3 linked regions of the Notamacropus eugenii genome follow. The protein of the gene in region 1 purifies or fractionates together with the protein of each later gene. This does not show direct contact. Links are inferred from orthologs where the notes say so. Each region holds a gene or a part of one and is shown in the gene's direction. Other genes may lie near its edges.

Evidence for each region.
Region 2: the proteins of TUBB (region 1) and RICTOR purify together in Homo sapiens (affinity purification with mass spectrometry; 3 studies listed by BioGRID and IntAct, with this or other methods). This does not show direct contact. The link is inferred for Notamacropus eugenii from reciprocal best matches to the Homo sapiens genes TUBB and RICTOR.
Region 3: the proteins of TUBB (region 1) and ARL2 purify together in Homo sapiens (co-immunoprecipitation; 3 studies listed by BioGRID and IntAct, counting the BioPlex papers as one, with this or other methods). This does not show direct contact. The link is inferred for Notamacropus eugenii from reciprocal best matches to the Homo sapiens genes TUBB and ARL2.

Annotation. Positions count from the first base shown.
Region 1 is NC_092873.1:84,575,010-84,584,375, forward strand, and holds the start of TUBB (tubulin beta chain), read left to right. Parts: upstream 1-4,869; 5' UTR 4,870-5,287; coding exon 5,288-5,344; intron 5,345-6,896; coding exon 6,897-7,005; intron 7,006-7,290; coding exon 7,291-7,401; intron 7,402-8,123; coding exon 8,124-9,181; 3' UTR 9,182-9,366. UniProt on the Homo sapiens protein: Tubulin is the major constituent of microtubules, a cylinder consisting of laterally associated linear protofilaments composed of alpha- and beta-tubulin heterodimers.
Region 2 is NC_092875.1:421,422,181-421,432,703, forward strand, and holds the start of RICTOR (rapamycin-insensitive companion of mTOR), read left to right. Parts: upstream 1-6,313; 5' UTR 6,314-6,605; coding exon 6,606-6,654; intron 6,655-6,835; coding exon 6,836-6,883; intron 6,884-6,978; exon of another isoform or gene 6,979-10,523. UniProt on the Homo sapiens protein: Component of the mechanistic target of rapamycin complex 2 (mTORC2), which transduces signals from growth factors to pathways involved in proliferation, cytoskeletal organization, lipogenesis and anabolic output.
Region 3 is NC_092873.1:17,758,715-17,769,260, forward strand, and holds ARL2 (ADP-ribosylation factor-like protein 2), read left to right. Parts: upstream 1-6,703; 5' UTR 6,704-6,734; coding exon 6,735-6,799; intron 6,800-7,475; coding exon 7,476-7,586; intron 7,587-7,667; coding exon 7,668-7,830; intron 7,831-8,535; coding exon 8,536-8,616; intron 8,617-8,696; coding exon 8,697-8,831; 3' UTR 8,832-9,227; downstream 9,228-10,546. Other genes in the region: SNX15 (sorting nexin-15), read left to right, coding at 9,808-10,077. UniProt on the Homo sapiens protein: Small GTP-binding protein which cycles between an inactive GDP-bound and an active GTP-bound form, and the rate of cycling is regulated by guanine nucleotide exchange factors (GEF) and GTPase-activating proteins (GAP).

The DNA of each region.
Region 1 (9,366 bases):
GCATTTTTTCATCTGGGTCCTTTGGAATTGTCTTGGCTCATTGTCTTGATCAGAATAGCTGTCTTTCACAATTGCTCATCCTTACAATATTACTGTTACTGTGTATTATGCTCTCCTAGTTCTGCTCACTTCATTTTGTATCAGTTCATATAAGTCTTCCACGTTTTTGTGAAACCATCCCCTTCAAGATTTCTCATTGCACAATATTAGTCCATTACAATCATATACCACAACTTACTGGTGTGGTAATTTTCGGTTACCTTTGCCACCACAAAAAGAGCTCCTACAAATATTTATATACAAACAGGTCCCTTTCCCTTTCATGTCTTTCCAATATAGATCTAGTAGTGGTATTGGTGGGTCAAAGGGTACACACACTTTTATAGAACTTTGGATGTAGTTCCAAATTGTTTTCCAGAATGGTTGGACTAGTTTTCAATACCATCAACAATTCATTATTGTTCATCAACAGTATCATCAATAGTCCCATTTTTTTCCACATCCCCTTTAGCATTTGTCATTTTTCTTTTTGTCATGTTAGCCAATCTGACAGGTATGAGGTGGTATCTCAGAGTTGTTTTAATATGCATTTCTCTAATCAATAAGGCTTTAGAGAATTTTTAATGTGACTATTGATAGCTTTGATTTCTTCTTCTGAAAACTGCCTGTTCATATTCTTTGACCATATCAGTTAGGGAATAGCTCTTTTTTAATATATAAATTTGATTTAGTTCATTACATATTTGAGAAGTGAGGCCTTTATCAAAGAAACTTGCTATAAAGTTTTTTTTTTCCCATCAACTAGTATTTGTTAATTATGTGTCTATTATATGTCAGGAATTGTGCTAAGCCCTAGGGATCCAAAAAAGTCCACAGACAAACAAAACTGGGCCCTGCTCTCAAGAAGCTCACATATTAATGGTGGGGGGGGGAAGGAAATAACATGCAAATAATTGTGTATAAACATGATATATATATAATATATTATAATATATAATATAATATATTATTAAATATATACTATAATGTATACTATACTATAATATAATAATATATAATGATATATATATATATATATATGATAAATTGGGCATAACCTTAAAGGGAAGGCACAAAGAGAATGGAGGTTTGGGAAAGAGTTATTGCAGAAGGTGGGATTTTAACTGAAATTTGAAAGAAGCTACGGAAACTATGAGGTGGCTGTAAGGAGGGAGAGCATTCTAGGCTTGGGAAACAGGCAATGAAAATGCCTAGAGTCAGGAGATGGATTGTCTCGGAACAACAGCAAGGAGGCCAATGTCACAGGACTGCCAAGTATGTGTAGAGGAATAAGGCGTGAGAAAACAAGAAAGGTAGAAAAAACCAAATTACAAAGGGCTTTAAAAGCCAAACAGATTTTATATCTGATCTTGGGTATTAGGGAGCCAGTGGAGTTTATTGAATAGGGAGATGAAATGGTCAAATCTGCCCTTTAGGAATATCAATTTGACTGCTGAATGAAGGATGGAGTGGAGTGGGGAAAGGCAGGGAGACCAACCAGCAGGCTATAGAAATAGTCTAGATCTGAAGTGAGGAAGGACTTCACCAGGGTGATTACGTCAAATGACCCCAACTATTGAGGAAGAGATTCACTGTTTGACAAAAACTGCTAGTAAAACTGGAAAGTAGTCTGATTTAGACCAACACCTCACATTATTTACCAAGATAAGATCCGAATGGTTATATGACTTAGATTTAAAAGGTCACATAAATAAAATGAAGGAGAAAGGAAGAAATTACCTTTCTTATCTGGATAGGGGAAAAGTCTGTGACCAAAGGATTACATAAGATAAAATGGACAATTTTGACTATGTAAAATTAAAAGTTTTGCACAAACACAATCAATGTAGCTAAGCTTAACAGAGAGATAGTTAAGTTTTGCAGTAAGTTTCTCTAATAATTGTCTCATTTTCTGGATATATAAGAAATTGATTGGAAGAATTAGTCATTCCCCAAATGACAAAGGATATGAACAAGGAAGTCTCACAGGAAAAAATACAAGTTATCAATAGCCATATTTTAAAAATGTTCCAAATCATCAGATCATCAAAGGTGACAAAAAAGGAAAACGGTAAATGTTGTAGGAGCTCAGGGAAAACAGATATATGCATTGTTTGTGGAGTTTTTTAATTGGTCCAGCCACTCTGAAAAGCAATTTGGAAGTATGCCCCCCAAAAGTTACTAAATTGTGCACATGATTTGACCCAGCCATACAACTTACTATGAAGAGAGAGGGAAAGAACCCATATGAAAATGGGTTAATGGGAAAAACATTTGTAACAGATCTTTCTGAGGTAACAAAAAATTGGAAAGTAAGGGGGAACTATCTACTAGGGGAATGGCTAAACTAATTTTGGTATGCAAATATAATGGAATACTATTCTGCTGTAAGAAATGATAAAATGGACAGTTCTGGAGACTTTTATCAGCTGATCTTAAATGAACAAGAAGAACAATTTGTACCATAACAACAGTGTAAAAATAAACACATTGGAAATACATAAGAATTCTGACCAACACAATGACCAATTATGATTCTAAAAGACTGTTGGTGAAGAATGTTACTCGGAATGGACCAAATATGCAGAATAAGACATACATATTAAAACATTGCCAATGTAGGAATTTATTTTACTATTCATATTTGTTACAAGGATTTTTTTTCTTTTTTTCAGAATATTTTTTTCTTTTTTCAGAATATTCCCTATTCAGTGGGAATAGAAACAACAGAAAAAAATGCTTGTAATTTTAAAAGTAATTTATTGACTGGAGAGTTGCTGAACAAATTGTGGCATACAAATGTAATGGAATATTATACTAAGAAGGATTATTGGGAAGTGATAAAGTGTAAAAAAACAAAACATAATAAAACATCTTTTAAAATAGAATAGGGAATGCAGATCTTACAGACTATTATAAAGCCACTTAACTCAGGCCTGAACAACTTGTGGCAAGGATTTCTTCTACATACAAAGGATGTTTTCCTGTACATTTTTTTGTAGGTTCCCCCCCCCCCTTTCCCCCAAATCCTTTGGCATGCTATAATCAGTCTGAGGGTCGTTAGCTCCCAGGGCTGGTTGTGCAGGCCTGACAACTTCTCAGTGCCCTAGGTAATTCTCTTAAAACTACAAGTTGCAGAGAAGTATAGATTTTTACTAGTGGAAGAAATTCACTGTACAAAAGAAACCACAGGTCCAATCCCAGTTCTCTAAATGGGCATAAAACCTGAAATACCTACCTTCAAAATAATATATGTATATGTAAATACATGCATACACACATATGTATATATATGACTTACTGTTCTTTGTGTTATTATTCAAAAATAAAATATTATGTGAATACTATATATAGTATTATACATCATATGTAATAATATATTATATATGTATGTATATATTATATAGAATATTATATGAAGCAGTCCTATATGTAACCAGAAGTCCCAGTTCACCTAATTTTCAATAAGGAAATGATTACATCACTTGCTCCTTGGACAAATCTCACCACTGATAACATGATATAACTTTCTCCTACTAGGACTATGGATAACGGATAGAGTGCTGGACTCAGAGGTAGGAAGATCTGAATTTGAACCCTAAGTCATTTTAACTTCTACTATCTGTAAAATGAGAATAAATATAGCACCTACCACACAAGGTTGCTGTGAGAATCAAATGGGATGACATATATGTATATATTATACATATATTGCTATGAAAACCCTGTAGTATTTTATAAATCCTAGTTATTTTATAACATCACTCTAAAACAGTATTATATCTCTCCATGCCTCTATGTTCCATGGAAAAGTGACCCTATGAGAAATGTCTGAATTTGAACTAAACTCATTTCTTCTCCCTCTGTCCCCAAGCCCAATCTTTCTTCCTTCTAATGGTCCTCATCTCCAGCTCAGGTGCCTAGGAAGGGTTACCATGGTGACCATGTTGCTATGACATCCACCATACTAGGGACATTGATTTGAATGGGGTGTGGAAACAGCTACCTCCTATAAATTCATTGATACTTTTTAAGGGTCCTACATTTGGGGAGGCAAGATAAAAGTGCCATGAAAATGTATGAGTTATTGAACCCCTCAGCCATTTTCTCTCCTTATCTCAGCTTAGACTTCCCTGGATCAATTACCGCAGTTCTATTCATAGGAATACACCTCAGGGACCCAGGTATCTGACTTCCCAAGAGTCAGGTTTTCTTTCACAAATTCATTATACATGTCCCTTCCAGTCATTTTTTTTTTTGACAGATGCATCTGTGTCCTGAAATGTCTCTAGCGTAATTTTCTCTTTGGGTATTTAAAATACCCTTATCCAAAAACGCCCAAGGAAATCACCCACTGAGCAAAAACCACTACTCCATCCATTGTGACTATCCCCTGAGAGGAAAAAGAGGTGGATTGCTGAGATGTGTGGGTGATGTAGATCAGTGAGGCAAATAAGGATGGGGTTGAAGATCGCAAGAAAGAACTGGAACTTCGGGGTATCAGAGGCTAGACACCTGAGTCCTGGAAAGATCAGTGAGTCCTGTAACTGTCTATCCCAAGCTCATACTTGGTTCTCCCTACATTTCTTTGAATTTAGCAGGCCAGTGGTAGGAATGCTGCAGCAGGAAGTCCCAGGACATACCAATCCTGAAATCACATCACTACCTCGCTTCCCTAGACTTTCCACTTACTACAGACCTAAATCCTAGTCTCCTCTAATGTCTAATTGAAAAAAAAAAAAAGACCTCAAAACAGTGGAATGCCATGCCTAATTTTTTTTTTATTCATAAAAAAAATATCCCACACCCACCCCACTCCTCCCTTCTTCATTTTGCAGCGTGGACAACAATAGAGAACTACATTTCCCGGTGAAGATAGCGCTTGATCCCCGGAGGAGCGGCCAATGGGTACCAGACACTTGCCTGGTATGGACCAATCAGTTCTTCTTTAGACAGGCTTTGTCCACGATATAGCTGGCGCCTACCTCTTCATGGTTCCCTCCCCTCAGGCCACGCAGCGCAAGCGCGACCCGCCCTGCTTCTCCTCCCTCGCTTCCCCTCCCCCCTTCCTTCTTTCTCCCTCTCAGAACGCTTGTGTAGCTGTGTTCTGAACTAGCAGCTCCAACCTTCCGGGGAACCTTCTATTGAAAAAGAGCTTGTTCAGCGGAAAGGAGAAAATATATATATTTATATATCATTCTCTCCTCCCTGCACATAACTTGAGACAAAGCAAAAGTAAATTCCAACCATGAGGGAAATCGTACATATCCAGGCTGGCCAGTGTGGCAATCAGATCGGTGCAAAGGTAAGGATTTTGATTTTACATATTCTTTTCACCTCCATTGATTTTTTTTTTTAAAGGAAAGAAAATTTAAAAGATTTCCTAAAAAAAAAAAGTAGTGGCGGGACTGTCGCTAGCTCCCGCTCCCTGCCCAAAGCAGCACGACCCAACAAATAAATAATCTAAGCATTTCTTTGCGGCGGGAATTTTCATTAGAGAAATCTGTAGCTTTTCTCCCCTTATTCTCTTACCTGGTTTAGTTTTGTTGGCGTGTCGCAACCTGGTCCTTTCTATCCGTTAAGAAGGGACCAATAAAATTATTTAAGATTTTAATGGATTAACTGGAAGGTGTGTCTCTTTCCCCTTGTGGTTTTGGGGCTGGGGTTGAGGGAAGGTGTAAAAGGGATCTCTAAGAGACTTTTGTGTCGGAGATGGATGAACGGAAACGCGCGAGACAAAGCGAGGCCAGTGCTGTCCCATGTGCATCTCTGCCTCTCTCTGTCTCTCCCCGCCCAAAACTGTGACTCTTGCCCGAATCCTAAGGGAAAGGTGAGGAGCTGCATTGTGCACTGAGCTGGAGAAAAAGGGGATGAAATAGGAAGGTGGGGTTTGGGGGGGACTCGTAGTCCACCCTCCCCCCCAAAAAATATATGAAACGTGGAATTTTCCTAATTTCTCTCGTTCTCCTTTGTGAGGTGGAAGGGTGAGGGGACTTTTCCCCCTTCCCTTTCTGAAAGCCCTCCCTTTAAGGGCGGGAGCGGGGGTGGGGTGGGGTAGGGTGCGAGTTCCCGCGCGTTGTCTAGTGTTCCTTGTGGATAGTTCCACAAGGACAAAGAGTTAAAAAATGGGTGACAAGGAAAGCGAATCCAATACATAATGAGAAAAAAAATGGAAACTGTAGCAAAGAAACAACATTTTAGGGTAAAAGTGATCCTTCTCCCTGCCCCCCAGTTCGAAGATACTGTGTAACGGATGGGGGTTGAAAGGAAGTGGGAAGGAGAGTTTGCAACGTTGTGGCAAAAGGGCGGAGCCCGGTTGGGGCGGGGCAAGAACTCCCTTGCGCTCCAGGGCCATGCTGGATAGAGGAAAGGAGCCCCACCCTTGGCTCCCATTGTCCATCATTTTCCCCCTTTCCTTTCTCGCACCTCCCACAGCCTCGCTCTATAGTGAGTTCTGCGGGATGGGTGGGTAGCAGCTGCAGTGCCTTTTTCTTTGTGCGCATCGGAGGGGCGTTGCCTGATGGGGGAAGAAGGGGAGGGCGACAGTGACCTTTATCTTTCCTAGCCAGAGACCCAGGCATCTGGCCTCAACCGTCCTCCTGGATTACCTGGAATGAGTCGGCCTCCTTCAGTCCTATTATCTCGTGCATTTATAGGGCAGGATAATCCTGTAACAAGCTTCCTGTGCATCCCATCTGTTCCAGGAAGGGAGGGGGAGGAAATCCCCTGGGTTTTTTAGGGGAAAAAAATGACTCCTGGATTGAGCAGTTTTGGAATTGAGAGCCTATCATGAAAGTGGGGGAGGAGAATTTTTAATCGATTTTTCTTCTCAACTTTTTACTCGTCTGTCTGCCTAGTTCTGGGAGGTGATAAGTGATGAACATGGCATCGATCCCACTGGCACCTACCATGGGGACAGCGACCTGCAGTTGGACCGGATCTCTGTCTACTACAATGAGGCCACCGGTGAGGGGCAGGAAGGGAACTCTCCCCTCGATTCTGCCTTCTGAAATAGGGGGGAACCATTTACCCTTGGGAGACTCTTTCTCCACTTTCCAGAGGCTCTGGTCATCTTCCTCTTCGCCTTTACGCACACACCCCCCTTTCTTCCACGGGTAATCGCAGACTAGTTCTCGACTGCCACCTGGTGGTAAAAACTAGAATGGAAGCGGGAGGGCCACGTATTAAGGGACCCCCGGAGCCCTCCCTTTCTTTCTCCAGCCTACACCTACTCTGCACTTTCTCCTACAGGTGGCAAATATGTTCCCCGGGCCATACTGGTTGATCTTGAGCCTGGAACCATGGACTCTGTTCGTTCTGGACCTTTTGGCCAGATATTCAGGCCAGACAACTTTGTTTTTGGTGAGTTGAAGTGAATTTCTTAAATAATGTAATGAAAAAGGGTAGAGAGGTGGTAGCTTTGCCACTGGGAAAGTGGGTGGGGAAGAGAATATTTCATTACTGGCAGTTACCCCAGGTAAATTCCCAAATAATCATCACTCTTGAATTTGAAGGTTCTTCATTAAGAAGGGGTTTGAATCCCCTGGATAGGTTAGGATCTTGTGGAAGTAAATTTAAAACAGAAGCAAATTAACATACTGGTGTTTTCAGATAATTGAGGAGTCTTTAGGGGGATCTTATCAGTGCAGAATGATGGGGGAAAGGAATTAGAAACTTCAAAACTGGGATACAGGTTCAATGTAGGTTGTGGCCAGAAGAGTTCTAGAAAAGTAGGGGTGACCTGGATGGAGGCAAAATAAGGGGAATGATTGAGGGGTTGAACATTAGCTAAGAGGATCTCTAAGGCAGTAATGTCAAACTTAGAAAGAGGGACCACTAAATTAAGGATCCTTGCTGGCTGCATATTTGGTTAGAAAAGCACACATTAATGTTATCTGTGTTACTATATTTCAATTTTTATTTAAATATTTCTCAATTATATTTTAATCTGGGCATGTCTGACACCTCTGTTCTAAGGTATAGGTGGATAAAAAATCTTAGGTGATAGGGGAAAGGGTTGGTGGTAGTGTGGGATATCACAGCATCCCTTCCTCATCTACCCTGCTTCCCACCCCCAATTCCAGGCCAATCCGGGGCAGGCAACAATTGGGCCAAAGGCCACTATACCGAGGGGGCAGAGCTAGTGGATTCAGTCTTGGATGTGGTACGAAAGGAGGCAGAGAGCTGCGATTGCCTGCAAGGCTTCCAGCTGACCCACTCACTTGGTGGAGGCACAGGCTCAGGGATGGGCACCCTACTCATCAGCAAGATCCGAGAAGAGTACCCTGACCGAATCATGAATACCTTTAGTGTGGTTCCATCACCCAAAGTCTCAGATACCGTAGTTGAGCCCTACAATGCCACACTCTCTGTCCACCAGTTAGTAGAAAACACAGATGAAACCTACTGCATTGATAATGAAGCACTCTATGATATCTGCTTCCGAACCCTCAAGCTGACCACACCAACCTATGGTGACCTTAACCATCTAGTCTCTGCTACCATGAGTGGTGTCACCACCTGCCTTCGCTTTCCTGGCCAGCTCAATGCTGATCTCCGCAAGTTGGCTGTAAACATGGTCCCCTTCCCTCGACTCCACTTCTTCATGCCTGGCTTTGCCCCCCTCACCAGTCGTGGAAGCCAGCAGTACCGTGCCCTAACTGTGCCTGAGCTCACCCAGCAAGTCTTTGATGCCAAGAACATGATGGCAGCGTGCGACCCTCGCCATGGGCGATATCTCACCGTTGCTGCTGTTTTCCGTGGTCGGATGTCCATGAAGGAGGTGGACGAACAAATGCTCAATGTGCAAAACAAAAATAGTAGCTACTTCGTTGAGTGGATCCCCAACAATGTCAAGACCGCTGTCTGTGATATCCCACCCCGTGGGCTCAAGATGGCTGTCACTTTCATTGGCAACAGCACTGCCATCCAGGAGCTCTTCAAACGCATCTCAGAGCAGTTCACTGCCATGTTCCGCCGGAAGGCTTTCCTCCACTGGTACACAGGGGAAGGGATGGACGAGATGGAGTTCACCGAGGCTGAGAGCAACATGAATGATCTCGTTTCTGAGTACCAACAGTACCAGGATGCCACTGCTGAAGAGGAGGAGGATTTCGGTGAGGAGGCGGAGGAGGAGGCCTAAGGGAGATACCCTGCCACCTCAAGTCTTCTCATTTCTCCCAACATTCTTTCCCCATCACTCTTTTCCTCTAAGGTTTGCTTTTTTTTGCCTCCATCCTATTTTTCTCTCCTTTGTGGGTGCTGAGCTCTCTGCCCTGTTTTTCCTTCCTTATGACCTGTCACCTCAGTAATATACTCTTTCCTCCC
Region 2 (10,523 bases), on another chromosome or scaffold:
ATAGTACAAAAAAGTATTCCAGCCTTCTTCATCTTCATCACTGAAGGAGAAATATCATAACTACGTGGGATGATTCCAGCAACTCTTAAGAGTTTCCATTTGACCTTATCCATAGTAAAACGCATGCCTAGAAGTCATTGAAAGGATCCCCATAGAAACTGAGGTCATAATAAGCCTTTCTTCCATGGACTGTCCTCAGTAGCTTTCCCTAAATGATCCAAATGATTTTTAAACTTTGGGTTGGTGTCCCATACGGGGTCGGATAACTGAATGTGGAAGGTCACAAAAAATTTGGCAACAGTAAAAGGTTTCTGAATGTGCAATGACCAAAAATTAATTCAAAATCAAACGTATAATGAATCCAAGGTGTTTCTGGCAGCACTTGCCCATGTTGCATCTTGCAACATCCCTACAGCCTTGGTTTTGGACACACAACATGTGCACTTTATATTGTGCATGCAATGCCAAGGAATGCTATCAGAAACACCTTAACTCATATTGGATACTATTATATGTTATGAAATACAGTGTTTTTACTGTACATACAAAGTCTTTAAATGAATTTTGGCTTGGGAGTAGGACAGACTTTCCAACAATTTCTGAAATGGCCCTAACCATACTTCTGCCATTTTGTACTATGTATTTATGCAAAGCAGTGTGCTCAGAATTGATGATTATAAAATCAAAATATCAATCAACTCTGAAAAATTCTGAAGATGTTTCATGTCCTTCAGTATCAAATACTCCACTAAGATTTAATTTTTTATGTAAAATTAAATAAGCACATGCATCTCCTTAGTAGGCAAATCTGCTTTCATCTTTAATAAATGGTAAAATTACATGTAAACCAAAGAATTGTTTTAAAATAAATTTCTTTATGATTTCTGATCAGTAAATGCTTGATTTGTATAACTATTTTATGTATCTGTATACCCAGGTCACAAAAATTTCTCAGCAAAAAAGGGTGGTGAGTGGAAAAAGTTTAAGAAGCCCTGCCTTAGATAATACCTCAGGCTTGGGTAAGACTAAAGGGCCTCTAGAGCCCTGGAACTTAAATTTACTGGGCCTCAAAGGCCTGGTCATCAATTGCTTTATCAACCTGAAGTTTCAGTAGCCACACCTAAACGCCCCTCCTGAGAATGGTGAATTGGTCTCTGACCACCTAGCATGGCAGTGTTGGGTTGAGACTTCTCCCTCAAATCTTAGAGTATCTTTTTGCATGGACAAAAATATTTGCCCAAGTCACATCTATCCAGAGCTCCTGCTTAGATTTCAATAATTGATCAACCCACACCTGTATGGTTGCGTGGTGGAGGAGAACCTAGCTAAAGTCAGAAACTATTTGGGCAGAGCTCTACACAGAACGCTTGGGCTTAGGGGAATGCATAAATCCAATTTATTAAATCCATTTCATTTAGGAATATCACCAACTCCCTTGTAGATCCCCAACTGTGAGCTGGCTGCCATCTTTATAAGGCCAGGTGTGAATAATCTTATCAGCCATCTAAAAAGAAACAATATATTTCTTTTAAAAGCAAATGTAGTTCACGCTTTAAAATAAGAGTTCAGAGAATTATCTGAGGCTATGGAAAGTCCACAGCAGAGAGGCTCTTGATGTAGGTTCCATTAGAACACACCTAGGGACTCCTCAAGTTTCTGTTTGAAAATCCCCAGAAAGCAACTGAACCCTCTCCCACTGAACAGGGACCCATCTCCTGAGCCTTCAAGATAGGAAGTCACTATCCTCCTCCTAAGAGTTGTTAAATTCTTTCAGTTGTGTCCAAATGTTTGTGATTCCATTTAGGGTATTCCTTGGCAAAATTACTGGAGTGGTTTGCCATTTTTTTCTCCAGCTAATTTTACAAATGAAGAAAATGAGGCAAACAGCGTCATCACACAACTAGTAAGTGTCTGAGGTAGAATTTGAATACAGGTCCACCTGACTCCAAGGTTGGTGCTCTATAAGCTGCACTACCTGCCTGCCCTCCTATGAGTAGTGACAAGATAAGCCTGAACCTTCCTTACCCTGGGTGGGAGTGCCCCAGCCTCTGCCCCAAGTCTGCTCTCCTCTAGTCCCATGGCTCCAATCAGCAGGAACCTGAACCTTTAGATCAGAGATCATAGGGTTGATTCTTTGCAGGAAACCCTCAGTACCCCTTGAGAGAGATCTCTTCACATGTGCAGTCACTAGTTGTATTAGCTGTCTCTTGACTTTCATTGCATGGTCCCTGAAAGCTGAGAGTTCTGTTTTTAGCTGCTGCTGAATGTACCAGGCCATTTTACTCTATTTGACTGCACTCACAATCCAACTTACTTAGAGCAGTCAACAACATCCAGGGAGTGCTGGTCTTGACATTTTCTTTACCCTGTCAGCAGCCTTCTCCAGTATCCAATAATCTAATTCCTCTACCCACAGAGAGGACTCTCCATAGACAATCAGGAGAGCTCTGTCAAGAGGGAGTCAGGGAATGTCCTGCCATCTGATCACGTGACCCTCCTCCTCCACATTTCAGGGTTCTTCCCCCAACTCAAACACTATTTGAGCCATGAAGCCTTTTCATCTAATCCTGATCTGCCAAAACTACATTAAATGTATGAGTCACTCCACTCTTAGTCCAGGTTTGATAAAAGGAAGCATGGACAAGTCACTGGACATTTAACAAGAGGTTTACTTTGCCCTAAAATAGCAAGAAAATGCAGTAAGGATAGGGGTTTTTATGCCCTTAAAAAGCTGCATTATGGAAGGGGAGGTAAGAGAAGAGATATTAGACCCCAGAATTAGCTTGGTCCTAGCTCTATCTTATGTTGGCTATAAGGGGAAGGGGAGTGGAAGGCAAGGAAGCTGCATCAGGTAAACTGGAGTCAAAGGAATTTACTTCAGAAAAATGCTTGTCCCATCACAGTATGGATATACATATGTGTGCATAATATATTTAAACCTCTTACTACTTGCCAAGCCCTATACTTACACTGGAGAAACAAAAATAAAAAAAAAAAATTACAGTTCATGTCCTTGAGAAACTTACACTCTATAATAAGAGGGAAGGGGGAAAAAGAAGGCAAGGATGAACATGAAAGATGAACCTATGTCTTTGGGCTCAGTTTCTGAACCCTCATGGCCTTGGCAATTAGTTTCTCCGCTGCATAGCTAACACTGAGGGCTGAGTGCCTTCCTCTAGTACTGTTGCTTATGAACCTCTATCTGGTGTGTTTTATCCAATATCAGTAGCTAATTAACACCCTCATTATCATTAACTGGTGTTACAAGGGATATTTTCAAAGAATATAGGTCAAGGACCTAAGCACAACCCAAAATGGGAGTACACTCTTCACTATTACTCCAGTTCTAAACCTAAAAGTGATTGTTACAAAATATTCCTTCCATCAAATTTACTGGACACAGATGGCTCAGGAGAAGTAAGGTTGTGAGTAAGTGAGGTTGGTGACCTTGCACAGCCCTCCCTCCCTCAAATCAAAGTCAACTACAAGTCATGTCATCATCCTGATGTCACTGTCCTCCTCAAGAACAAACTATAAACACAACAACAACAACTTCTAGGTATGGTGTAGCAGAAGGATGACTTGCTTCCTAGCTTGAAGGATGTGGTGTCTCTCATGCCAGATTGATTAATTCATTGGGTTAAGCTGGTACCTCTTCAGAGTTGGCTCCTCACAGATTAGGTACTCCAACAGCAAGACTGTAACCAACTTGATGGTTCTGATTTTAAAAGCTCACAAGGTCATACCTTTTTCCACTCTATCTTTGATATTCAGTCACCTAAAGTTAGGAAAAAAGAAATATGGCTAAGACAGAAGAAACAGCAACATGTGTTCACAGCCAAATCAGGGAGTGAGGCTGCTATCCTAACCAGAAGCCCACAGCAATTCCAGCTTCTCAGTGGCCACCTGGGAAGAGAGTGAGAACTGGTCTGTTCCTTGCTTTCATATGCACTCTCAATTCCAGCTCAGTAGCCAATTAAAGCCTTTTTACCATCATGCATAAGAAGACAGGAAAAAGAAAATATCAGGGACTGCTCTAAAGCCAATCAATTACTCAACTAGCATTTATTAAGTATCTACTATGTGTAAGGTACTGGGCTAAGTGCTGGGGGTAAAGTTAAAGAGAAAGGTTAAAGATAGTCCCTGCTTTCAATGAGACATTGTGTTAAGAACTCTGTCCAAACCAGTGATATACAAAACAAATTGAGATAATTTTTAGAGGGAAAGACTCAATATTAAGGATTGAGAAAAGCTCCTCTAAGAAGGTGGGACTTTAGCTCAGATTTGAAAGAACTAGGAACGCCAAAAGGCAGCAATGAGGAGTGAGAGAGCTCCAGGTAGGGAGCAAAGGAAGCAGAGAAAGGGTTTAGATATGCAGGAGAACCAGAAGAAAGCAGTGTCACAAAAACCTGGAAAGAAGACAGCATTAAGTGGAAGGTGAGAGACAGTGTCAAAGGTTGCAGAGAGGTCAAGAAGAATGAGGTTTGAGAAAAAGGCCATTACATTTGACAACTAAGAGATCACTAGTAACTTTGGAGACAGGAATTTCAGTTGAATGAACTAAAACTGCACTCTCACTTGAATGGTGAAGTCAGAATCCAGACTACAAAGAGTTAAAAGAAAAAAGGACTGGGAGTCACCTGCAGTAGACAGTTTGCCTACTCAAGGAGTTTAGCTACAAAAAGGAGAGACACAGGATAATAGCTAGTGAGGATGGATGCATCAAGTGACAGTTTTTTGAGGATGGGGGAGATGGGGTACAGATGTGAGCAGAGAGAAAAAAGGTTCCTTTATTATGCATTCCCTCTCTCCTCACCTCTGCCTCCTGCCTTCCTTCAAGTCGCAGTTAAAATCCCAGGAAGCCTTTCACAATCCTTCTTAATTCCAGTGACTTATCTCTGTTGATTATCCAATTATTTTATGATTTATATTCCAATTATTTCCAATTGATTTCTGTATATATACATACACAAATCCACAGAGAGAGAGAGAGAGAGAGAGAGAGAGAGAGAGAGAGAGAGAGAGAGAGAGAGAGAGAGAGAGGAGAGAGAGATGACTTGGGAGGTTGTTTGCATGTTGTCTTCCCCCATAATACTGCGAGCACCTCAAGAGTAAGGAACTGTCTTGGGCCTTTCTTTGTATCTCCCCGGCTTAGCACCATGCCTGGCACATAGCTGGTACTTTAAACTGCTCAGCGATTGATTTCGGCTCACTAAGCTTCCATAGAGGCAGAGCCTACGTTCTAAAGACTAGGCCTTCATTGTACAATTCTCCTAATACATGAGTAAACAGAAAATATATACAAAGTAACCACAATCTAATTTCAGTAGAGTTGCGAGGACTGAGGAGGGGAAGTATGGGCAGACTTTCCAGCTCCCTCCTCTACCTCCCTCTGCTACTGCAGCAGGTAGAGTTCTAGGAATACTTACTACTAATTAAATTAAATACTTATTATGCAAATCCTGGAACTGATACAGCATTGTAAGCAGGGGATGTTTTTGGATGTCCACCTTTCCGATACACCATATTAAGTCTTACATCCCCTTGGACGCTGGCCATTATGGTATCGCCAACATTAGGCTCATCTCAAGGGAAATAATATTAAGACCAGAGAATTAAAAAAAAAAAAAAACAACCTAAAACTGCAGTTCTTTCTCCCAATTCTCCACGGCTGCATAAAAAGTCTGGACAAGCTTTATATTCCTGACATTCTCAGCTAAAAGTCTTCTTCCCGGCATGACATCTAGCCAACAAGCCTCCAAGTTACGGGATCCGGGCAAACAACACGAATTACGTGTCCACCACTTAGAGGGGACGAACAAGCCGCGGAGGGCATCGTGGGCACGAAGGTTACCTAATGGAGTCCTCGTCTTCGCCGGTCCTCCGCAGTGCCACGCGGGGTTGCCCTCGAGGGTCACGCACGTCCCAACGTCTCACTGCGCTCACTACACGAGGGGCTCCAGCTCGGCAGGTGAACCCCGCTTTCCGCTAGGCCCCCCCCGCCCCCCATGAAGCCAATTTTCTTCGGCAGAATCTCAAGTTAGTGGAAAAAACGAGGGGGGGGGGGAGGAGAGTGTTTTACAGGAGGGTGGGCGTGGCGTGAAGGAAGCGAGGAAATTCTTCGCGGACAAATACAAAGCACGGGGCAGCTTAGGCACAACACGCGGGCACGGGTGGGCGGCCTCGCCCCGCGCCACGAAGCGGCCGGCCGGGGCCCACCCCGCGAGCCTCCCGGGGGAATTCCCCTTCGGAACTCGGAGCGGAGGTGGGGGAGGGGTCCTCGCGGGGCACCCCGCGGCCACGCGCTCGTCTGCAGGGGAGGGGGCTGGGGGGCGTCTTGCTAAGGCCAGCCTCGCCGCCTCCGCCGCAGGCACGCGCGCCCGCCAGCCCCGGGCTTCCCGCTCTGGGCCCCGCGCCCCGCCCCCGCCCCGGCCTGGCTCGCGATAAGAAAGGGAAGAGGGGGAGGAGCGAGGATGCGGAGGCTAGGCCAGGCGAGCGCAGGGCGGGGAGGGGAGGAGGAAAGGAAGCGGAGGGCGGGGGAGAGGGGAAGGGGGCTCTCGCGCGATTGGGCGAGGTTTCCGGTGTTGTGACTGAAGCCCGTCAACATGGCGGCGAGTGTCCGCGGCCGCTCGCTGAAGCACCTCAGGATACGAGGTAACCCCTCCGCTAGCCCTCTCCCCTCCGCTCCGGGCGCCCCCCCTCTCGGGGCCGCCTCCCCCCCTCCCACCCCCCGGGCTCGCGGGGCGGGCGTGGGGCCTGCGCCCGGGGCTCCGGCTGTGGCCGGGGCCGCCGCCGGCCTGCGAGTCCTAACTGGGTCTCTCTGTGTTTCGCGCAGGGCGGAATGACAGCGGCGAGGAGAACGTCCCGCTGGATCTCACCCGAGGTAACTAGCGGCGGGCGGCGGCTGGGGCGGGCCCGCGCGGCCCCTGGGCTTGGGCCCGGGGGGGGGGGGGGGGGGAGGGGCGAGGTGCTGGGTCCGAACCGCGGGCCCTGGGACTGCCCTGCGGGAACCATCCCCCTTCTCTCCCTCGTCCCGGCTTCCCCGCCTGCCCCTGCCCCGGGTGGGCGGCAGCGAGCGGGGGAGACCAGCTCCAGGGCACTCGGAAGGGGGAAAGGATGTACTTTGTCCCGCAGCTCTGCGCCCCTCAATCCTGGGGGCGGCCTGGGGAGGGGGGGGAAGAAGCTGTTATTTAGGTTGCGAGAGGATGTCTCGGGGAAGATCGACCACATCCTGCCGTCTTCCCCCTCCCCACCCCCCGCAGCACGCAGGATCGCTCTTTATTCACCACCTCGGGGGAAACGAGGGATCGATAGGTTTGTGTGCGGCTGCTGCCTGCGAGGTGTCTGGTCCAGCCGCCGGGAGGGTGGCTGGCAGAGCCCGCCCCCTCACCCGCTGCAGGTTCATTGTTTACCGTCGGCTGCAGCCTGGAAGGTTTGTTTACGCCGTCTGAACTGCTGAGAAACCTCAGCTCTATTTTGAAAAGACCTCCCCTTGCCCGACATTCCTTCCATCGGCGGCTGTGTCGGAATGCGTCCCCGCTGCCTAGCGTCGGGCGATCGGGGAGGCGATCTTCTCAGGGTAGCACCAGTTTCACGTAGACTTCTCCTCCAGTGAGGTCTGCTTTGTTTACTGTCGAGAAGCCGGAAAAAACCTTTGAACTTTAAATTCTGCGTAACTCTCTCAAGACACTCGTTTAGTCCCAATTTCAGAATTGAGAAAAATCTAAAGTAGATTCCGTAGAGTTCAGTTATTACAGGTTGCCCATTGAGGCTACTTCTGACTTCACAGGCTAGTAAGTGTAACAGTTTTCAGTATTTTTAGTATTCTTTCAAATCTTGTTAGTTGTGAATGATAGGAAGGTTGAGCTCTTATGTAGCTGTCCAGATACAATAGAACTATCTTATAGGTAATGGTTTATTCTTTGAGTCTAAGGATTTGGATTATTTTCAAATAAAACAATTTTTGAAGTAAAACGATTTAGTCTTTTAAGTGTTAGAAGCAGCAGTTAATTCACCGCCTAAGTGGAAAAATGATACTCTTTAGTAAAATCTTGGACATTATAATTGCTATAAAACTTTTTGTCTTCTGAATGTAAGGAAAGTATATGATGTTTTGAGTTGCAATAACTGGGAAAATACATAATCAAAAAAGTGTTGTTTGTCACTTCCATCTTCAGAGCTTCTCTACCAAAATAAATCTAGTTCCCAGAAAACTGAAACTTAGCATGCTAGTCTTTTATGCATGTAGTTGATTAGTGATTTGATTTATATCTGAGCAGTTTTTTTAAAAGAGATAATTAGGCTAACTCCAAATGGAATTCGTGCTTTTAAATTGGCTTAGTAATTTATCATAGTGGGTTAACTGAGATCGTGTATGTATAGTTGATGAACAAATCTTTGGTGTATGGCTAAACTACTGGTGACCTGATAATTGAATGTTCAAATTTGATTTCAGGTAAGCTTGGTTTACTGAGATTTGCCTTCTTATGTAGCAGACCTTGGTTTTTAAACTTCACATATGTTTTTTCCAGCAAGCATTTATTAAATGCCTGTTGTTGTGTCAACTTAGCAAACATTTATTAAGTGCTTAATATATGCCAGGACATGCTAAGAGCTGGAAATGCAAATATAATAAATGAAAAGAAAGTTATCCCCTGTCCTCAAGGAGCTTATATTCTAATGGGAGGAAGACAAAGTATAAGGAAAAGCTGAAAAGTGGGGAGAGGAGGTAAAAGGGAAGGATGTGGGAAATGGAAAGATGGGCCAAAGAGCCAAAATGGGTAGTGAAGCAGTCAGCATCCTGTGGTTTGCACAGTTATTCTGTTTTAGGGATAATTCAAAGTAAGTAGTAGATAGTTTTTGTCTCCTAGAGAACTTTATATAGTCCAGTTATAACAAAATCTAAACATGGGAATAAATGGAAAATAATTTTTAAAAAGCAGTGTATAAGATGTGAGAATATAACATTCTATATTACAGAGGAGTTTTGCTTGAATAGGTCTGTAAGATTTATTGGCACTTTCGTAGTGAAAATATTTTTTAAACTGTAAGTCAGAAAATTACTGGGGTAGAACTGTAATTGTTTCATTGGGCAAAGAGGATTTGTGGACCCAATCTGAAGAAAGTTAGGAATTACATTTTAGTAGTGACCCTGAATCCTTTTCTAAGTCAACAGAATAGTAGGGCAGTCTGGGTGGATGAATCAGATGTATGTGAAATGGATTGTCTTGTGTAAAATCAGGTTGGGGTGCCAGCATTTTAAATGCTCTAGTAATTTTGCTGTAATTTCAGTTATTTATGTATTTTACGTGAAATCATTTATTTCTGTAAAATAGAGGCTTTGGTTAATATGATATGTATAAATCTTAGCTCTGTTACATAAAATGAGAATTATGTAAACAAAACTAAAAGAGAGAAGGGGAAGAATCTGAATTATTATATACCTAACATGAAGAAATTACGTTATTAATATGAGATTTTTTTCAAAACCAGTTAGATATGAAAATAAGCTGATAGGTCTATTGTTCTTTAAAGTTTGTAAAGTGATTTACACACATTTCATTTGAATCCCGTAGGATAAGTGCTAACTATAGTTATTATCATCCCCATTTTACAGGTGAGGAAACAGACTTAGAAAGGATAAGTTACTTTACTATGGTCGCACGGCTAGTAAGGGTCTGAGGTAGATTTGAACTCAGCTTTTTCTGATTCTAAGTTCTTTCTTTTCACTATGTGTTAATTGTTCTGTTGTTTCCAACTCTTTGTGACCTCATTTTGGTTTTTCTTGGCAAGAATAGCAGAATGGTGTGACATTTCCTTCTCCAGCTCATTTTACAGATGAAGAAACTGAGGCAAACAGGGTTAAGTTACCTGCCCAGTATCTAGCAAATATCTGAAGCTGGATTTGAACTCAGGAAGATGTCTCCCTGACTCCAGGCCCAGCACTCTATCCACTTCACTACCTAGTTGCCCTTCCACTAGGTGTGCTGTCATATATGGGTATCTGTAATACACCCCTTGAATATGATAGGAAAAAAGTAATTTGTGTACACTAAAGATGCATGTGAAAAGTAATAAGTGAATAGTACTTAGAGGAGAAAGGGATTTTTTTGTTTTGCAGTTCATTCAAATATTGTCTTAACTATTTAAGAGGTCAGAAAACGTCTTTATTTTGTCTACTACTTTCCCCAGTAGCTAGTATAGTGCTTCTGACATAGTAATAATGTTAATTACATAGAGCCAACTTTCACTAAATGTCTGTTGATTGATTGAGTTGAGATCAGTCCAAATTGTAACATTACTTTCTGTTATTTAGGAGGCTGCTTTGCATAGTGGATAGAGGATAGGTTCAAATCCTGCCTCTGACCCATACTGGCTGTTTGACCCTTGGAAATTCACTTAACCTCAGTGCCCTTGACCACTTTCCAAGACTTGAGAAGTTTTTTTCATGGGGAGTTCTTTCTACCATTGAAATCATGCTGTAGCCCCTGTCCTGAACCTCTCCATTGTCAAATCTAGCCATT
Region 3 (10,546 bases), about 67 Mb from region 1:
GGGGGGCCCCAAAAATAACCTTTAAGTGGTGCTTGGACAAGACCTATGGTTGTTCAATCCTTGAGATCCAAAGTGAATTGGATTTAAGGCTTGGTCTTTGAGAAACAAATCTAGCCAGTAAACCCCAACTTAATAGGTAGCTTTCAGCCACCAAAAATTTAACACTTGTTTGTACTGCACATCCTATAGTACACACATGCTTTATTATAAACAATTTACTGATATGCACTGTTTTGGAATTAATGATTTAAGTATCTTCCCAAGTCTTTTATTGTAATTGGAATAAAGTTAGCCTCTTATAAGTTAATTCATTTATGTAACTATTGAACTCAGGGGTGGAAAGTTTCTACTGTTGACCTGAAAACTTGGTTAGAGAAAAGGCAACAGGCTAAATGCATAATTAAGCAATTCCCTATAAAAAAAACGGTTACATAGCGCTATGGAGCCAGGAGCAGAACTGGCTGACTTAGTACAGAAATTGACTGTCTTAAGTACATTTTGCCATGGGGAAGGAGTTCTCTTAGATAAACACATTGCAAACAAAGTGGTGTCAGTTGGGTTTTATGATCCCAAGCTATGGGTATCTTCTTTCTGTAGCATGTCTCTGTGATTTAAGATAAGGAAAAGGTCCCATCACCCAGATAACAGACATCCTGTCCTAAACAGGCCTTAACAGAGTTTGACAAAAGCTGAAGTTACAACCCCAGGTATCTGTGTTTTTCTCTCTTCACCAGGATGCTAGAAGGGTCTGATAAGGGAGTCCCATTTGCTTGACATCAAAAGGCATCCTCTAAACAAAGGAGACTATTAGGTCCAGACTCTTCTTAATTCAAACTTTGGCCCTTATTAAAGTCTAAAATTTATATTAAACATTATCACTACCTACAAGTCTTGTTACTCATATTTTCATGTATAGAAATGAATCCTCAATAGCACCTGATCTCCTAAAGGAACTGGAATCAGAGTAGAAACTTTTGAGAAAGTAACAAGATCAGATACTACTGTATATCAAATATGGGGCATGTAAAAATCTAAATTTCTGAAGCTTCAAGCAAACTCTGGGTTTCTACTTTGATGTTCCCCCTTACAGCTTTATTGCTAAGATAAGAACTCTAAGGTTTGAGCTGGTTTTTACAATATGAACTGGTTATTGGAGAAGGAAAATTGGAGAGGCTGTACTACATTTGTGTTGAGATCTGTTTTGTAAAAGATTTTAGCAGGGACATCTAAAGGGTCTCTATAAGTAACTTGGAACCAGAAAAATAATACTGAAGAGATGCCCCTGAGGACAAGACATTTTCTAGATGGCCCCAAGAAAAGCTGCTCCAGAGAACTGACAACTCCATGGGATATCTGGATTCCAAGATGAAATCTGCTAATTAAATGGATGTTGGGGATGGTTTGATGATCATCATTGTACGTCTCCCCTTGACAGAAAGGGGGAAATTGAGAAAATCAAATTGTTCTTATCTCCTTTTGTAACTGACTCTATTCTGTCACCCCCAAAATGCTATAAAATTGCCCAAGCCATGTTTATTTGTCTCTGAACTTTGTTCAGAAACTCAGTTAGCCTGTACTACATTCAGTTTAGAAATTCAGCTCTCCCACTCATCCCCCAACGCCTTTGGTTCTTCCTTCACCTCGCCAGGTGAAATTGTTAACCACGGTGATCATCTTCTCATTGGTCATGCTGTTTTCCTATCTGTGCTTATGTTGTTTGTACGGCTTATTCTTACAAATGGGACCACCCTGGCTGTACCATAAAAGGCCATAAACACCCTAGTATAGAGCCAGCCCAGGGACCTTGTGGAAGATATTCAGAAAGAATGGGCAGCTTTTCAGACATGGATTGTGGAGTCCTGACTGGGGAAAAGCCATAAAATACATTAATAAATGAAAAGCCACAAAAAGGTGGAAAGCCCGAAAATGGCGACTGGTTTAAAATCATAATTTAGATACTGATTTGTAATTCAGACACTGAGTCACAACTTAAAATACTACGTCCTATGAAAGCCTTATGTAACAAGAATATCGTGACCCATACGTGACTGGTACATGATCAATACACAAACATTTATACTTGGGCATGACATTGGCTTAACTCCCAAGCTCGTTACTAAGCAAAAACCCAAAACCCATCAGTTGTGATGCTCTCTGTAGCTTCTCCTCCCTTTGTCTATTTTCTATAATTACCATGGGGACTTTGGGGGTTCTCTGGTGGGCATCGACTGAACTGCCTGGCTACCACCTTAGACTGAAGATTGCCCCTGTTTTATAAGTAGTCACAATGATAGATTGAACTACTGCCTATAATCAATCTGGAGCTTCTTGGCCTCTTCCTTTGATATCAAGAATACCCCATGGTTATGGGGAAGGTCCAGGGTTCCCCAGTCTGGGGAATTCTGAACCTTACATAGTTTGCTCCTTCACCCCTGTTGCACCCAATGACATGGCCCTTCTCCTGCAAAGGCAAACCCCTCTAAATGCACAGGATCCCATTCCATCCTCCAGAAGTTTGCCACCCCTATTAAGTCTCACTCTCTCACCCATCTTCAATTACTCTGTGTATGCCTCTTCCCTGTCGCCTACGAACATGCCTTGTCTCCCTCATCCTCAAAACATCTTCTCTCGATCCATCCATCTGTTCCAGTCAGATATTGTTCCAGATATTCCAGATCTCTCCTCCCTTTTGTGACTAAACTCATACAATAAGTGCCTCTTCTTCTATCTCTCATTTCTTAAGTCTCATGTCTGGCTTCTGACCTCATCCATAAATGGAAATCAATCAACATTTATTAAGCACCTACTAGGTACCAGACACTGTGCTATATGCTGGGCATACAGAAAGGGAAAAAAAGACAATCCCTGCCCTCCAGGAGCTCACAACAGGCAAATAAATTGATTTAAGTAAGCTACAGACAGGATAAAAAGGAAATCAGAAACAGAAGCAAGATATTGAAATTAAGAGGGGTTGGGAAAGGCTTCCGGTAAAAGATGGAGTTTCAGTTGCTGTCTCCAAAGTTAGCAGTCCTGCCTGACTGAGGGTGGTGCTGTATTCACTTTGCCACCCTCTAAAATACTATTGATTAGAGAAACATTAATTGAAACAACTGTGAGGTACGCACCTATCAGATTGATGAGTATGACAGAAAAGGAAAATAACAAATATTGGAGGGGATATGGAAACTTTGGGACATCCCCTCCGTTTCCAATTCTTTGCCACAACCAAAAGAACTAGTGTTGGGGGTGTAAGCTCAGTTCCATGTGGACAGTCTCGGGCAGGTAAAGGTGAGGACTTCCAAACCTTAGAGTTCTCATGAGGCCCCCCAGGGAACAGCTGGGAATTGAGGTGTGAAACCCGGGCTATCTCGTGCATTTCCGCCTCTTCCCCGTAGGAAACTTGCTGGAGAAGAGCATCCCCACCCTCGAGATTAATCCATGGTCTGAGCACACCTATTGTTGTCTAACAGGCACAGTACTCAGGTGCAAACTATGCGGCAGGAGAGCTTAAGTAGGGTCAGAAAAGCCTGAAGGTGCTCTTAGTGCTGAGGGGTCCTTAGAGGACAGAAGGTCCCTCTCCCCTCTTCCCTCTTCCCTCTTCCACTCCTGCTTCCATTCTCTTACTGTAAGATCTTTGCCTCCTTCGGAAGAGGATTCCTCTCTCCTCAGGAAGAATTCCCCCTGCACATGTAACCAAGACCCTGAATAAAGCCTAACCCTTGTTCGACTCTGGAAAGTCTCTTCTCTCATACGTTTATCCGGTTTGGCCAGCCGAAGACCTGCGATAGGTAAGGTAAGACTCGGGTAGCCCTTAGGCCTCTAGGCCTGGCAAACTAGTATAAATATTTTTGTACATAAAAGTCCTTTCCCCTTTTAAAAAATCTCTTTGGGATAAAGACCTAGTAATGCTATTGCTGGGTCAAAGGGTATGCCCATCAATTGGGGAATGGTTGAAGAAGTTACAGTATATGATTGTGATGGAATGCTAATATGCTATAAGAGATGATGAGGGGGATGGCTTGAGAGAAACCTTGAGAGAAACTTGAATTAACTGATGCAAAGTGAAGTAAGCAGAACTGGGACAATGTCATACGCAACAGCAGTGAATGACTGAGCTATTCTCAGCAAAACTGGTGATGAAAAATGCCATCTACCTTCAGAGAAAGAACTGATGCAATCTAAATGCAGATTGAACCACGGTATTTTTTTCGGCGTCTGTGTGTCTGTTTAGCCTTTTTTTTTTTACATGCCAAACATGAAAATGTTTTACATGACTGCACACATATAACCTTTATCAAATTACTTACAATTCTTGGGGAAGTGAGATGGGAAGGAGAGAATTTAGAACTCACAATTTTAAAAAAGAACGTTAAAAACTCTTTTCATACACAACTGGGGGAAAAAACCAAACTATTAGAAAAGAAAAAGAAGGTTCCAGTGGGTTCGGTCTGTATGCAGAGACTACCATCCATGTGAGGTCATGGTTAATTCAAGTTTTTCTGTCTAGCGGGCCAGAGACAAAGTGCCAGCAATCAGTTTAATTAGTTTCATCATGAGGAGCAGCTTTGCAAATTGGGAATTCCTCTGATCAGAATTTTGCCTTACTGAAGAGAGGACAGAGATTATATACATAAGTCACAAATGGGAAGGGAAGGACAGGGAAGGTGGATTACAAACAACCGTTCCCAGGGTCGGAGTGGTTTCCCATGACAAACCCACAAACAAAAGACAATACAACAATTCTGGAGTCCTGTGGAAGCAATACTGCTCAGGTCCTTGTGGGTCATTACTTAGTGGGTCACAGGACCAGAGTTCTGTGACAGGAACAGTTTCTACAGGTTTTGATAAGATGCACTTCAGGTTCGAAGGCAGGAGGCCAGTGATTGTGGACCTTGTCAAGGTCTGACTGATCAGTTCAAGCTGCGCTGTAAGTCTGGAAAAGGCAATTCTGCAAAATCTAATTTATTAGTACAATCGTTACACATATCCTATTGATTATTATAAAAATCAGAATTTCCTTCACTGAGAGAAAACTGGAGCTCCTCTGCATGATGCAAATCAGGATCTGAGCCCCCACAAGCCTGACACTCTTTAGTCAGACAATAAAACAGCCACAAAAATAGTCTCTTTGATGACTTTTAAAAAATCAGTGTAAATAAGGAAATCAAGCCCTTGAATCACCCTCCGTTGCTCCTCCTTCCTGCCAACGCACATCGAGTATACTGACCATTGTTAACCTGAAAACTGCGTTAAATAAAAGACATCGGGCTAGTAAGCACGCGTTATTATTTAATTCATCCTCTCTTAAAGATGAGGGTCATGGCGCTATGGAGCCAGGACCAGAACTGACCCAGCACAGAAACTGCCTGTCTTAAGTACATTTTGCCACGAGGAAGGCGCTCTCTTGGATGCACACGTCGTCCATCTGATAAGGGGATGGACAGAGCAGCTCCCGAGCCGTGGGCATGTTCTTTCTGCAGCGTGCCTCCGACATCAGAGGAGGAGAAAGTCCCACCGCCCTGCGGACAGACACCCTGACCTGGACAGGCCTTTGGAGCTGGCAGAGCCCAAGTTACAGCCCAAGAGATCTGGGTTTTTCCTTATCGCTAAGATGCCAGCAGGGTTTGGTAAGGGGGTCCCCAAAAGGTGTCCTCTAGGTTAAACAAAGGACCACTAGGTCCAGGCTCTTCTTAATCCAAACTATAACAATCTAAAGGTTATAACAAAGGGTTATCAAGCTCTGGCCTTTACTGCCCAAAACCCTCCCAGGCTCTAGACCAGACCCAAAGCAGGGGGGCTGGGGGAACCCTGCAGGAGAGTCTTCAAATGGATGCAGGGGCAGCTGCGCGGGGGGCGGGGCTGTCCCGCCCAGCACTGGTAGTGGGGGGCCCGGGGTGCAGAGGGCTACCCCCCTCTGTCTCTACACCTTCCTCCCTCCGCAGTCAGGGACCCCGGCCTCTCCTGGCTCTGGGCAGCCTCCCCGGCCGACCCCTGCCCCCCGACTTCCTGCTAGCCCCAGCTGAAACCCCACTTTCTACAGGGGACCCTCCCCAGCGCCTCCCTCCGTGAGCGCCTCCCCATCTACCCTGCCTCCAGCCTGCTTTGTAGGCACCAGCGGGCACGTGGTCTCCGCATCAGATGGTAAGCGCCTCCAGGGCAGGCACCTGCCGGGCCTTAGGTATGCCCGCTGCTTTAGTTCTCCGCAAACCGCGGGCACTAAATAAGGAGGGCTTGACCCGACACGGCCTTCTGGGAAATGGAGTCCAAAGACTCTCCCGGCGCCTCATGGGAAGTGAAGTCTTTGTTCATTTCCTTCTCCCAAGATCCAGGGGTAGAGGTGGGAGGGAAGCCCATCCGCCGGACCTCGAGGACTAGGCTGACCCCGCTCAGGGGAGGGCCTGCCCTTGAACCCAGCTCTGTGTCCAGCCCCCTTCCACAAGTAGAGGGGTGCGATGTGAATCGGGATGCACCTCTTCGCGGCGCCCTCCCGTCCCGGGCCGGCACACCAGGGGTTAAGCGGCGGGGGCGGGCCAGTTTGGGCCCAGCCGCCCCCGTAGCCCCGCCCCCGCCCAGCAGGGCGGTGCCTTCTCCTGCCGCCGGCTCCGGCGAGAAGGGGCGGGCTCAAACAAGGGCCGAGCCAATCGGGTTCCGGTGAGGCGCGCTCTAGCCAATGAGAGGGGGGAGCGGGGTCCCGGACTAGGAAGGCGCAGCGGCGGGGAGGGGAGGCTGGGACCATGGGGCTCCTGACCATCCTGAAGAAGATGAAGCAGAAGGAGCGGGAGTTGCGGCTCCTCATGCTGTATCCTCGAGCTCCCCGAACCCTTGGGTGGCCGGGGGCCAGGGAAAGGCGCGGGCGGGCGCTACCACGCGCTCCCCCGGGGTGGGGGGAGGGAGGACGCGCCGCTCTGGGCAGGATCGTACCAACTACCCTGCGCGGGTTACGTAAGCCGGGATCGACCAATAGCCCTAGGAGGCGGTGGGTTGGGAGTTGGTCCGTACCATCCGGGACAAAAACGGGGGAGTGCAGGCTGTAGGGACTGCCCCCACGCAGAGGGGGGTGCGGCTAGAAAAGTGGAATGGGCCAACTACCCCGGGGGCATGGAAGGGAGCTCGCGTGCACTGGCGGGGAGGCGGGAGATGGAGGGTCCGGGATTTGGGCTAGACCCTAGCAGACTGGATCTCGGGAGTCCCCGGAGCACAAGTCCAGCTCGTTGCCTCCTTGTGTGTCCCAGGCACACAGTAGGAGCCTCATGAATGCATGTTGCCTTCCCTCTCATAGGGAGCTTCACTTTGTGCTAGGCTAGTTCTTCGAGGGCAGGGCCCGAGCGGGTTTCTTACTGTTCATCTTGGTGCCCCTAGTGCCAGGCACACAGTAGGTGCGCACCTAGTTTGTGGAAGGATCGAGGTGACCTTGGGCAAGTCACTTCCCTCCCTTGGGAGGTCCTGCCTCCGAGGCTCCTTAACTGCCGCCCCAGCGGTCTGGACAACGCAGGCAAGACCACCATCCTAAAGAAGTTCAACGGGGAGGACATCGACACCATCTCGCCCACCCTGGGCTTCAACATCAAGACCCTGGAGCACCGAGGGTGAGGGACGCCCCTCCCCAGGAGCTGGGCGCACAGCGCGGGCCGGCCGCGCCCATCCACCCTCTCTCCCTTCCTCCTCAGGTTCAAGCTGAACATCTGGGACGTGGGAGGCCAGAAGTCCCTCCGCTCCTACTGGCGCAACTACTTTGAGAGCACAGACGGCCTCATCTGGGTGGTGGACAGTGCTGACCAGCAGCGCATGGAGGACTGCCGCCGGGAGCTGGAGAGCCTCCTCGTGGAAGAGGTGCGCCAGCCTGGGGGCTGTCAAGTGGGAGGAGTCTGAGGAGGAAGGCCCTGCCTTCTCACTTACCAGAAAGGGACACTGAGGCACAGGGAAGAAGGAGCTCCTGTCTTTGGATCTCCACCACATGACAGAATGCCTAGCTCATTGTAGGGGCTTAATAAATGCTTGCTTGGTTGAAAAAAAGATCACAGGTCCACATTAACTTGAATCAGCATACATTCGTTTCCTGCTGTTTACCAGATACTGCGCTAGGCAGCAGAGATTAGCAAAGATATGAGAAAGTCCTCAGAGAGGACTGGTCTAGTGGAGGGTAAGACAAGTGCAGAGGCAGAACAGGAAGTAAGCGTTGTAAGATGAGGTTATGGAGTGAGGAGGGCAGATGGCCAGAAATGGAAGAGAATGAATTGGGGGGGGGGGGGTGCAGGGAGTCACATGACAAAGCTGGAGAAGTAGGTGGGGACTGGGATGCCAGGCAGCCCAAGACTGGGCGAGATGCCCAGTCCAGCTCTTTGCTCAAAGACCAGGCAGCTGTTTCCTGTGGACTTTTCTTGTCATCGTATCTCACTGACAAGCGCCCACAACCCCATTCACGTCCCTTTCCCTAATGCTGCCCTGGGAGTGGTGCTCACAGTGGCTCATAGGCTGGCTAGCTCAGAGCTCCCAGGTTCCTTCCTGGCCCTACCACCACCTTTCTTTCCCTCTTAGCGCCTGGCTGGAGCCACTCTCCTGATCTTTGCCAACAAGCAGGACCTCCCTGGGGCTCTCTCATCTAATGACATTCGAGAGGTGAGTTGAGGCCTCCAGGTGGCTGGATGGGATGGAGGGTTGGGAGGGCTGCTGTCTGAGAGTCACTCTCCCTCCTTCAGATCCTGGAGTTAAATGCCATCCGCAGTCACCACTGGTGCATCCAGGGCTGCAGTGCAGTGACGGGGGAAAACCTGCTTTTGGGGGTTGACTGGCTCCTGGATGACATCTCCAGCCGAATCTTCACTTCAGAATGACCCCTCCCCTCCTTGCCCTGGGTCACCGGTTCCTGGACTGACCCCTCGACCCAGCTGAAGGGCAGCCCCTCCACACATCTCCAGCTCCCACAAACCATCCCTCTGTCCTGCTTCTCTCTGATCCAGGGCCCCCCAGGGAGCCAGGACTGGGGGGGGGAGGAACGGAAGCCCAAGGGACCCCAACTAATGCCTCCTCCCTGTCATAACCAGATGCTGCTTGTGCTATTTAACAGGAGAGACCCTGCTGCTCTGTTGGAGAGCCTTCCTCCCTGGGGAGGAGTGGCCCCCATTCCCTATTTCTGTCCCTCCTGCAGCTCTCTGTCTGTGGATTGGGGGAGACTCCGGGAGGGCCCCTTCCTCCGATCAGCTGTGGGAATAAAGTCCTCTGTGCCCCTCGCTCCTGGCTGCTCTTCTTCCTCCCAGGCTCCTCTGCTGTCAAGGGAGCTTCCACACTCCCTCCCCATGCTCCCAAAGAGAAGGGTGGCCCACTCTGCCAGCAGTTGAGGGAGGGCAGGAAAGGCCAAGTCCAGAAGGCAGCTCTAGAACTGTCTGGTGTGGATGAGGACCTGGAAGAAGCTGGGCCTGCCCCGCCACCCTCCAGGCCCCTGGCCTTGGCCCAGCTCGCAGTAAACCAGTGGCCTAAAGTGATCTGGTTCTCAGTGGCCCTTGAAGTGTTGGGGGAGTGGGCTTGGAGGGGGGTGAGGGCCTCAGCGGCCCCACCAGGGGACTCATCAGTGCCAGCCTGACGTCTTCCGCCGTCCGGGGCCTCAGTTTCCCCACGTGGGAGTGGGCTGGGTTTTCCCTGAAGTCTATCTCAGGGCCTGATATGCAGTAGGTGCTTAATGAATGCCTGTTGCCTGGAGTCCAGGGCACCGATGGCCTTCCCCAGGCGCCAGGGGGCGGCCTTTCCTACGGAGTAGCTCATTCTACGCCTTTCCAAAGAACAAAGAGTTTTAGGACCGTCCCTGCGTGCACCATGGAGGGGCATAGGAGTCAGGAAGAGAGGCCAAGGAGAGCCTTGCGCAGGCGCAGAAGAGGCGGTGCCCGTCGGAGGCTGGACGGGAGGGGAGGGGAGGGGACAGCGTGGAAGAGGAGGCCCGTGGCCAGGCCGAGGCGCCGGAGTCCTGCGGACTCCGGCTCCTCGAGGATGTCCCTCAAGGCTAAGGACGACTACCGGCGGCTGTACACAGTGTCGGACACGCGGACCCATCCCAAGGGCTACACGGAGTACAAAGTGACGGCGCAGGTGAGTGACCGCAAAGCCCCTTTAAGAGGAGGAGGAGAAGAAGAAGAAGAAGAAGAAGAAGCCCCTTTAAGTAGGCGGGGCCGGACCGTTCCATCCTCGAGAGTCAGGCAGGGGTGGAGCCCCTGAGCGAATTTAGGACTATACTAATTTACGGGGGAGGGAGGGAAGACTAATCTGGGTTCCTTTAACGGAGACGCAAGGGGCGGGGCCAGCATGGGCGGGGCCAGCATGGGCGGGGCCTAGCTGCAGAGTTGTTTGGCTGGGGTTACCTCCACCTTGCGCAAACAGGTTAATAAAGAGCTGGGAGCTGCTGCCTCCCTTCGCGAAATGACCCCCGTTGCGGCCCGGAACACACCGGGGGCGGCTGGGGAGGGCGGGGCGCGTTGGGGAAGCCTCAGCTTCCTCCTCTGTGAGGCGGGCACCCCCTCCCAGGGTGGCTGAGGCAGCCGAGGTCGCAGGCGGTGAAAGC